Linked DNA regions of Macaca mulatta. The protein of the gene in region 2 binds, or shares a complex with, the protein of the main gene of each other region. Links are inferred from orthologs where the notes say so. Each region holds a gene or a part of one and is shown on either strand. Other genes may lie near its edges. The genes, in order: STRADA, CAB39 and STK11.

Region 1 (3,742 bases), on a different chromosome or scaffold from region 2:
CAATGTCAAAGCACTCGATAAAATCAAAGTGATGTGGCTCAGGCCTGTAATCCCAGCACTTTGGGAGGCCAAGGCTGGTGGATCACCTGAGGTCAGGATTTCAAGACCAGCCTGACCAATATGGTGAAACCTCATCTCTGCCAAAAATACAAAAATCAGCTGGGCATGGTGGCATGCGCCTGTAGTCCCAGCGACTTTGGAGGCTGAGAATTGCTTGAGCCCAGGAGGCAGAGTTTGCAGTGAGCCCAGATCACGTCACTGCATTCCAGTCTGGGCGACAGAGCGATACTCCATCCCCCCACCACCAAAAAAAAAAAAAAAAAGGTGATATATGTAAGATCAAATGAGACTTCATGTGCATACAGGTCCCACAATTCCAGGGGCATATTTTTCTTTTTCTCTTTTTTTTTTTTTTTTTTTTTTTTTTTTTGAGGCGGAGTCTCACTGTCGCCCAGGCTGGAGTGTAGTGGCAAGATCTCTGCTCACTGCAAGCTCCGCCTCCCAGGTTCAGGCCATTCTCCTGCCTCAGCCTCCTGAGTAGCTGGAACTACAGGCGCCCGCCACCACGCCCGGCTAATTTTTTTGTATTTTTAGTAGAGACGGGGTTTCACCGTGTTAGCCAGGATGGTCTTGATCTCCTGACCTCGTGATCCACCCGCCTCGGCCTCCCAAAGTGCTGGGATTACAGGCGTGAGCCACCGCGCCCGGCCTTCCAGGAGCATATTTCTATCAGTCCCTATTTGGATGTAGCTAAACTTCCCCAGTCTTGGAAGTTAGGACAGTCTAAATCTGTGTTAAGGCTCAGAGCTGCGAAGAGCGAGTGTTCATTACCTGATGGTATATATCCGCGTTTTGGACACCCTCTCCTGCGCACGCGGGGTTAAGTAAGTCACTGAAAAACCTAGTCTCACAGGAGTGGGGCTTAGTCCATCACTTCCTCATTTCTCAAGCTCTGCATAACCTGGCTTGGACAAACCTGATAGGTTTCCACAAACGGCTTCAGCTGTGGATGAGGAAGGCTTCCGGGGTGGGGGCAAGATACAGAGGGGACAAGATGATCGTTTTCATTAGTTGAGCTATTTTCCTCGTTTTACAAATAGTGGGGAGCAAAGAACGGATAGACTTCCCCCTTTGCAGCTTGTTGTCTGGTGCCCGAAAGGCCAAAGTGAGGGGCATTTGAGAAAAGTGCGAGGCAGGTTTTCCCATAGAAGTCCTACCACATGAAATGAGAAAAAAACAATTCCCAGGAACAGCCAAGTTTGCCTTTCTCTGGTCTTTCATTGTTGAAGCCACCTGCTTCCCCCTCCTGCTGCGGCGGCGGAGGCTCTAGGCGGAAGCGCCGCGCGACGGAAAAGACCACCAGAGGTGAGAACTCTCAGCGCTACAGCTGCTGAGGCCGGCGGCACCCGGGGCCCCTCGGAAGGGCGGGGCTTCCCCGCAGGGAGGGGAGGGGAGGGGAGGGGAGGGGCGCTCTATCCGCCCTCCCGGTCGCCCGACTGCGCATGGCACGTTGCGTACTCCCCTCCCAGCAACCGGCCTGGCGGCGGCGCGGCCGTAAAACTGAGGAGGCGGAGCCAAGACGGTCGGGGCTACTTGCTAACTCCAGGAACAGGTACCTGCCTGGCGGGGTGCCTGGTGAGCCGCCGGGGCCAGTCCCTCCTCGCTCTGCCACCGATTCCATCTCCCCAGGCCCGGGCCTTCGTCGGAGCGGCCATCCCGGGCTCACCCTCACCCTCCACGGGCCCCCTTTTTAACCCGCGTCCTCGACTCCCGCAATGAGGCGCCGCAGCCCGAGAGCAGAATAGGTTTGGGCCTGGCGGGGAGACGCTGAAGCGGAGTTCCCGGGCGAGAGAGGCGAGCTCCTGCTTTCCCCTTCCTCCCCACCCCCCAGGGCTTCCAGGTGGGGAACCTAGGGCTGGGTGCCGGTTTGTCCTGCTCAGGCAGAGTGGTGGCCGACTCCGGTGCTGAACTCCCCGCTCTCCCCAGCCGCCGCGCACCCCGGGCTGACAGGCAGCAGGTCAAGTCCTCGTAAGGACACAAGATACAGATGGCTCCCAGAATCGGCCTAAACGAAGAGCTCATTGTCTTTTTGTTTTCCAAAAATGTTTTTTGAGTGACTGCAGGGGATATGGGCGCCGGAGATGGGGGTTGGGGGTTGAGGGTTGGGGGTAAGGAAGAGAGTTCGAGGGAAGGGCATTGGGTAGGTAAAATTGTTCATAGCTCTCAGGAAATAGGGAACTAACCTCTCTGCCCAGCCTTCTCCTGTATCCTAACATACTTTAACTTGACTTTCCTCGAAGAAAAAGCCGTTGGAATCTGCCCTTTTCTTATTGTAATATCTGTTCAAGTAGAAGCATGTTCCAATACGTATATGCGACGTTAAGACAATTCTTCATTGACACTCATACCTTTCTGAAGACACCCAGGACTGTTTCTTGTCTCTGAGAGTTAAGGAAGAAACCAAATTTGATCACCGGCCTAGAAGCCTGTGAATTCAGCCTTTAGGTATAGTGCTAAACTGGTCAAATCTGTCCCCTACTTTTTAATCAGATTTCTTAGAGGTGTTTTGGCTGGAATGCAGTGTTTATGGTTGTGGCCCCAGAAATGGAGGAAGTTTACTCTGGTTTTTAGAGCACAGGCTTTGGAACAGATTTAATTAGTCCCTACCACTTACCTGTGTGACTTTGGGCATTTAACCTCCCTGCACCTTAATTTCCTGACCTGTAAAACAGAGATGATAATACTTGTGAGCTGCTCATGAAGCATTTAGCACAGTGCCTGACACGTAGAAAGTTTGCCATAAATGTTTGCTGGGTTTATTATTTTCTCTCTTGATTTTTATTTTATTTTTTGAAATGGAGTTTCGCCCTTGTGGCCCAGGCTGGAATGCAATGGCTCCATCTCCGCTCACTGCAACCTCAGCCTCCTGGGTACAAGCAGTTCTCCTGCCTCAGCCTCCCGAGTAGCTGGCATTACAGGCACCCCTCACCACACCCGGTTAATTTTTGTATTTTCAGTAGAGACGGGGTTTCACCGTGTTGGTCAGGCCGGTCTCGAACTCCTGACCTCAGGTGATCCACTAGCCTCGGGCTCCCAAAGTGCTGGGATTACAGGCTGAGCCACCGCGTCCCGCCAATAAAGCTGTTTCTATATCTGTCCACTAGTAATATTGCTTTGTTGTGTGTGTGTGTGTATGCACACACACACATATATAGTGTTAAATTATAGTGTTAAATGTTTCTGATAGTCTGGGTGCTGTGGCCCACCTCTGTAATCCCAGCACTTTGAGAGACTGAGGCAATAGGATTGCTTGAGCTCCGGAGTTTGAAACCAGCCAGGGCAACATAGCAAGGCCTCATCTCTACTGAAAATTTAAAAAAATTAGCCGAGCTTGGTGGCGCGTACCTGTAGTCCTAGCTACTTGGGGGGCTAAGGTGGGAGGATCACTTGAGCCCAAGAGTTTAAGGCTGCAATGAACTATGATAGTACCACTGCACTCCAGCCTGTGCAACAGAGCAGGACCTTGTCTGCAAAAAATATATATACACACATACATATATGTGTACATATATATTATACAATATGTATATATGTACATATATAATATACATATTAATACATATATGTTGCATATGTGATATATACATAATATATTATGTATACATATATGTATACATTATATAACATAATGTGCATATATAATATATGCATAATATATACACCTACATATGTATTTATTCAT
Region 2 (3,738 bases):
AACTAGTTCATTACACATTAAAAATAAACGAAAATACACACATATGGCATTTGTATGTGCCGGGCTCCATTGTCAGAGCTTTGCAATGCACTGTCCCGTTCATCCTCAGAAGCCCGTGGCTGGTACCACTATATTATTATATACCTCTTTTTTTTCTAACGTGTGAGGAAATCCAGGCACAAGGATGTGAAACAGCCCATAGATAGCAAATGGTGGAGCAGGATGTAAATCCAGGTTGCTGATTTAAATAGGAATGTTCCCATTAATCTGGAACGTTCCGGCACTTTCTATGCTGTGTGCCCCTGGAAGCTAAAATGAAGTGATCTGCTCCTCGCAAGCAAGAAAGAATCGGTCTGCACAAAGTGGGATCCAGGCCTTTCGCAGAATTAAGCCTGAAGAGTTGAGGAAGTGGTCGTTCAAAGTGGGCGTGCGATTCCCGCTGGAAGAGCGCTCAGGCGGAACAGAAGGGGATGAGCCCCGCCTTGGAAGCTGCGGCGGAGGAAGAGGAACTGCGGGGGTTGACTTGTGCTTTTCTCTGCGGCCCCTCCCGTTCGGGCCTCGCGCCAACTCGCGGCGCCCTGAGTCCGCCAGCCGCTCGGGGGCGCCCAAGGCGGAAGGGGGCGTTGCGGCGCCGCCCGTCGTCGCGTCCTCGGCGGCTGCGCAGTGCGCACGTCAAAGCCGGGCTCGGGCCGCGGGCTGGGCGAGGGGATCGTGGAGCGGCGCGGCCTGGGAGACACAGAACCTTCAGGCGCCGGGGCGGGGGCACAGACGAAGACTAAGGCGGCGCCGGGCCCCACAGCAGCAGCGGCAACCCAAGTGAACGCAGCAGCGCGGCGGCAGCCGCGGGAGCCCCTGGGCCGCCGTCCGCCCGCGCAGCCGCCGCCGCCGCCGCCGCGGGAGCCCGTCGCCGGGAGCAGGAACGGGCGGAAGACAACGGAGGGGCCGAGCGTCCGAGCCACGCCGCGGGGACCGAACGAGCAGCCCGAGGCGGCGGCGGCCGAGGACGGCGACGGCGACGACGCGGAGGCAGAGAAGGGAACGCCTGGCCCAGCCCCGTGAGTGACCCCCGGCCCGGCCCTGCTCGTGGTGCGGCGGCTGCCCGGCTTCCGCCTGTCCCGCCGGGCCCTCACCGGCCCCGGGGTTGCCTCCATTTTCTTGGGTGGCGGCGGCCCCGGCCCAGCTGGGCCCCGGAGCCAGCGGGAGCAGCCGGGCCCGGCCTGCCCTCTCCTCCCGGCTCGGCCCCAGCCCTCGCTGAGACGCTCCCTTTGCCTTCGCCGGCGTGGGGCTCCCGGGGGCCTGCGGTCCAGGCGCTCCTGCCGCCCCCTCCGTGGTTCTCAGGCGGGGCTGGCGGCTCGGGGTGATCCGGGCCGGAGTCGGGAGGGCGGGGAAGTGCGGACCGGGTCAACTGTCACCGGCTGCACCCGGACTCCGGCGCCTCGCTCCCGCCCCTGGTAAACTTCCTGTTGTCGGGAGGCAGATACCAGCGTTGTGATCAATTCAGGAAAATGCCTAACTGATTTCTGGTTAGGAATTGTGCGGTCGGAGCGTTCTCGAGTTCAGTGGAATCACCCGGAGCGCAGACTGCGTGCAGGCGCCGTAGTCGACCCGCGCCGGAGGGATTCAAAGGTGAAGCGGGCCCCGGTCCCCTCCCCCGAGGAGCTTAGGCTCTGGTGTGGGAGATAAGACGAGTACACAAATAACTGCGATACCGGGAAGGAGGTGATAAGTCCTGTGAAAGAACGACAGAGTGCTGGAAGGGCACCCGGAAAAACCGAACCGATCACTTCTGCCTAGCAGAAACCTGGAAGGCGTCCTGGGCGGGGGGTGCTGAGCAGAGTCTTGAAGGCCTGATGGGATTTAGGAGAGGAGGGTTGCAGAAGAGATGTGTGGAAGGGGCAGCAAAAACGAGAAGACAAAGCCTGGAAATCATGGATAATTCCGTTTGTTGGCGTGGTGCAGGGGGCGGGGGGTATGGGGCTAAAGAGGTATTTTGGGGCCAGATCCTTGAATGCTGTAGAGGAGCTATTTGAGCAGCGTTCTGAGAGAAACTTAGAGCTCATTTCTCAGTGACTCATGAGCCCGGAAATGTAGGCTAGGGGATATTAAAGGCGCTCTTGTGAAAGAAGAGAGAAGGAGGCCCAGTCAGGAGTTGACATTCTGTGCCTTGAATATAATGCAGTTTCAGATCGATTTTGACAGCTTCCCAGATATTCAAGTAAATCCATGCCCAAGCTAAGCAAAGTACCTTTGCAGAAAGCTTCATTAGATGTCAGGCTCTTAAGAGGTAATGAAAAGGTGTATATAAAATAAGCTCATCTGCACACAGAAGGTGTTTCTGTTTGTGCGTTCGCTAAAATGCATAAAAACTTATTGCACTTTGTATTAGGCGTCTGTACTTTGGAATTACTAAGTTAAACCTACATTCTTTGAGGTGGCATTTGTGTAAAAGAACAAATTGACGATTTTTTAAAAATAGTTACTAATATTCTGTAGAAAACCGGACGTAGACCTTTTTGTAGAAAGGTAAAACTTTGTTTTTATTTTTATTTTATTGCGAGATCTTTATAGTAGAGCCAGAAGTGAAAGTGTTTAGCTTTATTTTGTAGTTTCTTCAAATTGCTAGGAAGTAATCAGCAGCTGTATTTGAAATCTAGAATATACAATCTGTGAAAGCAGCTTAGGGCCTAAGTTTTGTAAGCATTCAAATGCCACCTTTTTGCAGTTTAAAAATTTTCTACGTTTCAAAATAATACATGATCTTTGTCAAAGCTTGCAAAATTCAGGGATTACTAGAAAATCTTTATAACATTTTCTATAATCTTACCACTTAGATTTGGTTACTGTTAACATTTTCGCGTATTTTCTTTCCAGTCTTTTTCTGTGTATTTTTTCTCTGCATAATGAAATATATTGTATGCATATGTATACACACACATATCCCTAAGCTTTTCTTATCATTAAATATCTTTAGATAAAAAATTTTTACTCAGGAATGGAAATCTTTTAAGCGTGTTATGTTTTCCTGACAAGGTTGTATTATTTACGTCAGATGAAATGCAGTAGTTACGCTTAATAACTACTAGTGTGGACAGAACTTTTTCTAAAAGCTTCTTGTTTCAAGTACATTTATTACTTTCTCTGTAAGACTTGGATCCTCTTGCTTGTTGAATAAAGTTTTTATTGGCAGCATGTGTGTTGTCATGAGGTATGGAAGAGGAAGAAAGCACACAGATCTCTGCTATAGGAGTGAATGGACTTCTAAAAGGATGCTGTCAAAAGATTATGATCATGGCTGGTATACCATCCCCCACAGACGGCGATGCAGTGTCCCTTCCTACCTCCCACTTCGCTCCTGAAAAATAGTCTCTACACTAGGGCCATCCATATAGGGTAACTATTTTTTGACCATGATAACACGAAGATTCAGGCTGGATATCAGCATAGAATATTTCATGAAATGGTTTGATACTATAACAAATGGGTGGTATTTGCTTTCTTGGTTTTGGTTTTTGAGACAGGTTCTCTGTTGCTCAGGCTGAAGTGCAGTGGTGCGAACACGGCTCACTGCAACCTCAACCTCCTAGGCTCAAGCCATCCTCCAACTTCAGCCTCCCGTAGATGGGACCACAAGCTTGTACCATCACATCCAGCTAATTTTTGTATTTTTATAGAGACCGGATCTTGCCATGTTGCCCAGACTGGTCTTGAACTGCTGGGATCAAGTAATCCTCTCCCAAA
Region 3 (3,642 bases), on a different chromosome or scaffold from region 2:
TGAGGCAGGCCACGCAGGCTGAATGTTGTGGGCCATTTTGGTCGTGGCTGAGCGTGTCCTTGTGTCATCGGTAGACTCCCCCCATGGGTCTTACGGGCACAGCTTCCCTACGGGGACTTTGCTTGAGGCCCTGTGCCCAGAGCAAGAGCAGAAGTGGTCCTGAGGCTGGGGCTGTGTTCAGAGTCACGCAGTCAGGGGCCGTGGGCCCCATCCTGTGTGGACCCGAGCCTGCTTGTGGGGGCGTCCAGGAGGTATCATCCCCCGCCCATGGGCGGGGTGGGGGACGTGAGTCCCGCAGGAACACTGCCCCAAGAGTCAGCCCTGTCCTCCACTCCCATGGAGGCTCCTTCCTCCCAGACGCTGGGGCCTTTTCAGAGGGGTGTGAGGGCAGGGTGGGCCCTGGTCCGAGGAGGGGCAGGGTGGGCCCTGGTCCGAGGAGGGGCAGAGTGGTTGCGGAGGGTCCCTCCAGAACCCCTTCTCTGGCCCCTGTGCTCTCCGGGCCTGTGAGTGGGGCCGCCCCCTGAGCTGTGTGTCCTTAGCATCCCACGTATATGGTGATGGAGTACTGCGTGTGTGGCATGCAGGAGATGCTGGACAGCGTGCCAGAGAAGCGTTTCCCGGTGTGCCAGGCCCACGGGTGTGTGCGCGGGGCAGGGGCTGGGGTGAAGCAGGGGCTGGGGGCCGGGCAGGGCAGGCTCCTTTCCCTGTGGCCACACGGCTTGTCCTGATCTTCATTGACATGAAGGCCCAAGTTTTTTATTTTTTTTGTTTTATTTTTTTTGAGACGGAGTCTCGCGCTCTGTCGCCCAGGCTGGAGTGCAGTGGCCGGATCTCAGCCCACTGCAAGCTCCGCCTCCCAGGTTTACGCCATTCTCCTACCTCAGCCTCCTGAGTAGCTGGGACTACAGGCGCCCGCCACCTCGCCCGGCTAGTTTTTTTGTATTTTTTAGTAGAGACGGGGTTTCACCGTGTTAGCCAGGATGGTCTCGATCTCCTGACCTTGTGATCCGCCCGTCTCGGCCTCCCAAAGTGCTGGGATTACAGGCTTGAGCCACCGCGCCCGGCCTTTTTTTTTTTTTTTTTTTTTGAGACGGAGTCTCACTCTGTCGCCCAGACTGGAGTGCAGTGGTGCGATCTCTGCTCACTGCCAGCTCCGCCTCCCTGGTTCACACCATTCACCTGCCTCAGCCTCCCGAGTAGCTGGGACCATGGTGCCCGCCACCACGACTGGCTAATTTTTTGTATTTTTAGTAGAGATGGGGTTTCACCGTGTTAGCCAGGATGGTCTCGATCTCCTGACCTCATGGTCCACCCGCCTTGGCCTCCCAAAGTGCTGGGATTACAGGCGTGAGCCACCACGCCCCGCCCTGTGAAGGCCCAAGTTTTTAAAAACAGTTTTGGGGACTCCTGTGTGTGGTATCCACGGGCAGGGCTGCTGTCAACCTCCTGCCTCCATCTTTGCTGGGCCTGCTGCCTGAGGCCGGCAGCTCACCCCATCCCGTCCCAGCAGCCACCTGCCCCGACCGGACCTCCTGGTACAGATCTGTTGGCTGCAGAGTCAGGGCCCCTTGCTGCTGCAGGACTGCAGGGGCAGGGAGGGGCCTGCTGTTTCAGCAAGCCTTTGGGGTGCAGCCGGCCTGTGGCCCACAGGGAAATGAGACCTGTGGACATCCGGGGCCCTGCCAGACGTGACTCGGCCGGATGAGGGTGGTCACTGCAGGCGCAGGCCTGGCTCCCTACTGGACCCAGCTTTTCCTCTGTCCTGTGTGCCTGGACCTCCGTGACTCCCCAGCTGGGCCTGTGGTGGTTGGGAGGCTCCCAGGCGGCTGCAAAGGGGACCCCTGTGAGGAACAGGGAGGCCTCGGTCCCAAGACAGGTGTGTGCTGCCCGCAGGTACTTCTGTCAGCTGATTGACGGCCTGGAGTACCTGCACAGCCAGGGCATCGTGCACAAGGACATCAAGCCCGGGAACCTGCTGCTCACCACCGGGGGCACCCTCAAAATTTCCGACCTGGGCGTGGCCGAGGTAGGCACGTGCTAGGGGGGGCCCTGGGGCGCCCCCTCCCGGGCACTCCCTGAGGGCTGCACGGCACTGCCACAGGCACTGCACCCGTTCGCGGCGGACGACACCTGCCGGACCAGCCAGGGCTCCCCGGCTTTCCAGCCACCCGAGATTGCCAACGGCCTGGACACCTTCTCCGGCTTCAAGGTGGACATCTGGTCAGCTGGGGTCACCCTGTAAGTGCCCCGGCCCCGCCCCGGCACTCGCCACACGCACAGCCCGGAGGGGCCTCTGCATCTTGGGCAGCTTCTGGCCTGTGGGTGCAGGGCGTAGCCACCAGCCTAGACCCTCGCTGACCACAGCCACTGGGGGTGCTTACTTTATGGAGACGTAGCTCACACGGCAGATGGTGGTTCACCCATGTGACATGCAGCCTAGCCTGTCAGGGATCTTCACAGAGTGTCACAACCAATCCTCCTCTCAGAGCCCCACAGGAAAGCTGGGCGGGTGAGAGTGGCTCCAGGCCCCTCCCCGGGTGGGTCCAGAGGACGCTCCTCTCTTGCCCCATGGCTTCCACTAGTGGGAGGCGGTGAAGACAGAGGTGTCCTTGAGTCCGCAGGGCCTGTGGTCCAGCAGCCACGCGAGGGCTCCGTCCCTGGGGCAGAGGTGGGGCTCCCGGGGCGTCGACCACCTTGACTGACCACACCTTTCTTCCCTCCCCTCGAATGAAGCTACAACATCACCACGGGTCTGTACCCCTTCGAAGGGGACAACATCTACAAGCTGTTTGAGAACATTGGGAAGGGGAGCTACGCCATCCCGGGTGACTGTGGCCCCCCGCTCTCCGACCTGCTGAAAGGTGGGGGCCTCGTCCCTCTGCCCACAGCCCCAGGGAGGCGGGGCTTTTGTGCAGAAATGCAGGGTGGGGGGTGTTAGGTGGGGGGCTATTGGCCCTGAGACCCCTGCAGGCACTGAGAGGACTGAGCGGAGAGGCCGGCCTCCCACTAGGGCCTGGTTTGTGGGTCCCTCAGCTCCACCCTGCTTCTGGGCCCTGTTCACCTTTCAACTCCCACCCCTGAGGGCAGTGCTGCCCTGCGCCTCCCCCAGCCCCGCCCTCGGGGGCTCCCTGGCCTGTGTCAGGCTCGTCCTGCTGCACTTCCTGTGTGTGGGCAGCAGGTGGCACTGGCCGTCTGTCCGTCTGCCCAGTGGCCTTGGGAGAATGGAACTGCCCTGCCTGTCCAGCCCAGCCCTGTCTCCCAGGCAGGCACGCAGAGGCTGTCCCTGGCCTGTCCCCTGGAGTCGCCTCTGTCAGGGAGGCCATCTCAAGGGGGCCCCCCTTGGGAGCATCCAGGTATCACCTGGGGCCTGACAACAGAGGCTGGTCAGGTGGGGATGATTGGTGGGGTCTCGGGCCTGTGCCTGGCTGACTGGCTCCTCGCCGGCTTCTCCTCAGGGATGCTTGAGTACGAGCCGGCCAAGAGGTTCTCCATCCGGCAGATCCGGCAGCACAGGTGAGCGGCCCCTGGGGGCAGTGGGGCCAAGACCACAGGGAGGCTGGCCACGTGTGCAGCTGGTTGAGTGGGCACCAGAGCAGGGCATGGTGGGGGTGCTGGGCTGGGGCCAGACCCCGTGCAGCGCCC

Evidence for each region.
Region 1: the proteins of CAB39 (region 2) and STRADA are in contact, whole or in part, in a crystal structure (PDB 3GNI), measured with the Homo sapiens proteins. The link is inferred for Macaca mulatta from reciprocal best matches to the Homo sapiens genes CAB39 and STRADA. Residues at the interface, in NP_001124321.1 of Homo sapiens: Leu26, Glu27, Lys28, Gln29, Tyr55, Gly56, Thr57, Asn58, Ala85, Asp86, Gln88, Leu89, Phe92, Glu93, Lys96, Arg107, Glu138, Leu141, Ile145, Ser176, Thr177, Phe178, Asp179, Ser182, Asp183, Glu221, Asn222, Tyr223, Val224, Arg227; in NP_001003787.1 of Homo sapiens: Pro64, Leu104, Glu105, Cys107, Ser108, Asn109, Val112, Gln116, Leu119, His120, Lys123, Leu124, Phe125, Asn126, Thr136, Phe137, Ile138, Asp140, Asn141, Leu143, Tyr185, Met189, His223, Gly224, Arg226, Val426, Asp427, Asp428, Trp429, Glu430.
Region 3: the proteins of CAB39 (region 2) and STK11 are in contact, whole or in part, in a crystal structure (PDB 2WTK), measured with the Homo sapiens proteins. The link is inferred for Macaca mulatta from reciprocal best matches to the Homo sapiens genes CAB39 and STK11. Residues at the interface, in NP_001124321.1 of Homo sapiens: Gln109, Gly111, Thr112, Lys196, Leu197, Leu238, Asp239, Arg240, His241, Phe243, Met246, Ile250, Val280, Ala283, Asn284, Pro285, Glu317, Gln318; in NP_000446.1 of Homo sapiens: Gln100, Arg103, Arg104, Glu165, His168, Ser169, Gly171, Leu201, His202, Pro203, Phe204, Ala205, Ala206, Asp207, Asp208, Phe234, Arg301, Ser307, Arg310, Lys311, Lys312.

The regions. Positions count from the first base shown.
Region 1 is NC_133421.1:73,534,978-73,538,719, reverse strand, and holds the start of STRADA (STE20-related kinase adapter protein alpha), read left to right. Parts: upstream 1-1,040; 5' UTR 1,041-1,365; intron 1,366-1,556; exon of another isoform or gene 1,557-1,854; intron 1,855-2,628; exon of another isoform or gene 2,629-2,721; intron 2,722-3,742. UniProt on the Homo sapiens protein: Pseudokinase which, in complex with CAB39/MO25 (CAB39/MO25alpha or CAB39L/MO25beta), binds to and activates STK11/LKB1.
Region 2 is NC_133417.1:135,971,864-135,975,601, forward strand, and holds the start of CAB39 (calcium-binding protein 39), read left to right. Parts: upstream 1-856; 5' UTR 857-1,055; exon of another isoform or gene 1,056-1,626; intron 1,627-3,738. UniProt on the Homo sapiens protein: Component of a complex that binds and activates STK11/LKB1. In the complex, required to stabilize the interaction between CAB39/MO25 (CAB39/MO25alpha or CAB39L/MO25beta) and STK11/LKB1.
Region 3 is NC_133424.1:1,890,384-1,894,025, forward strand, and holds part of STK11 (serine/threonine-protein kinase STK11), read left to right. Parts: intron 1-547; coding exon 548-637; intron 638-1,893; coding exon 1,894-2,026; intron 2,027-2,101; coding exon 2,102-2,238; intron 2,239-2,733; coding exon 2,734-2,861; intron 2,862-3,455; coding exon 3,456-3,513; intron 3,514-3,642. UniProt on the Homo sapiens protein: Tumor suppressor serine/threonine-protein kinase that controls the activity of AMP-activated protein kinase (AMPK) family members, thereby playing a role in various processes such as cell metabolism, cell polarity, apoptosis and DNA damage response.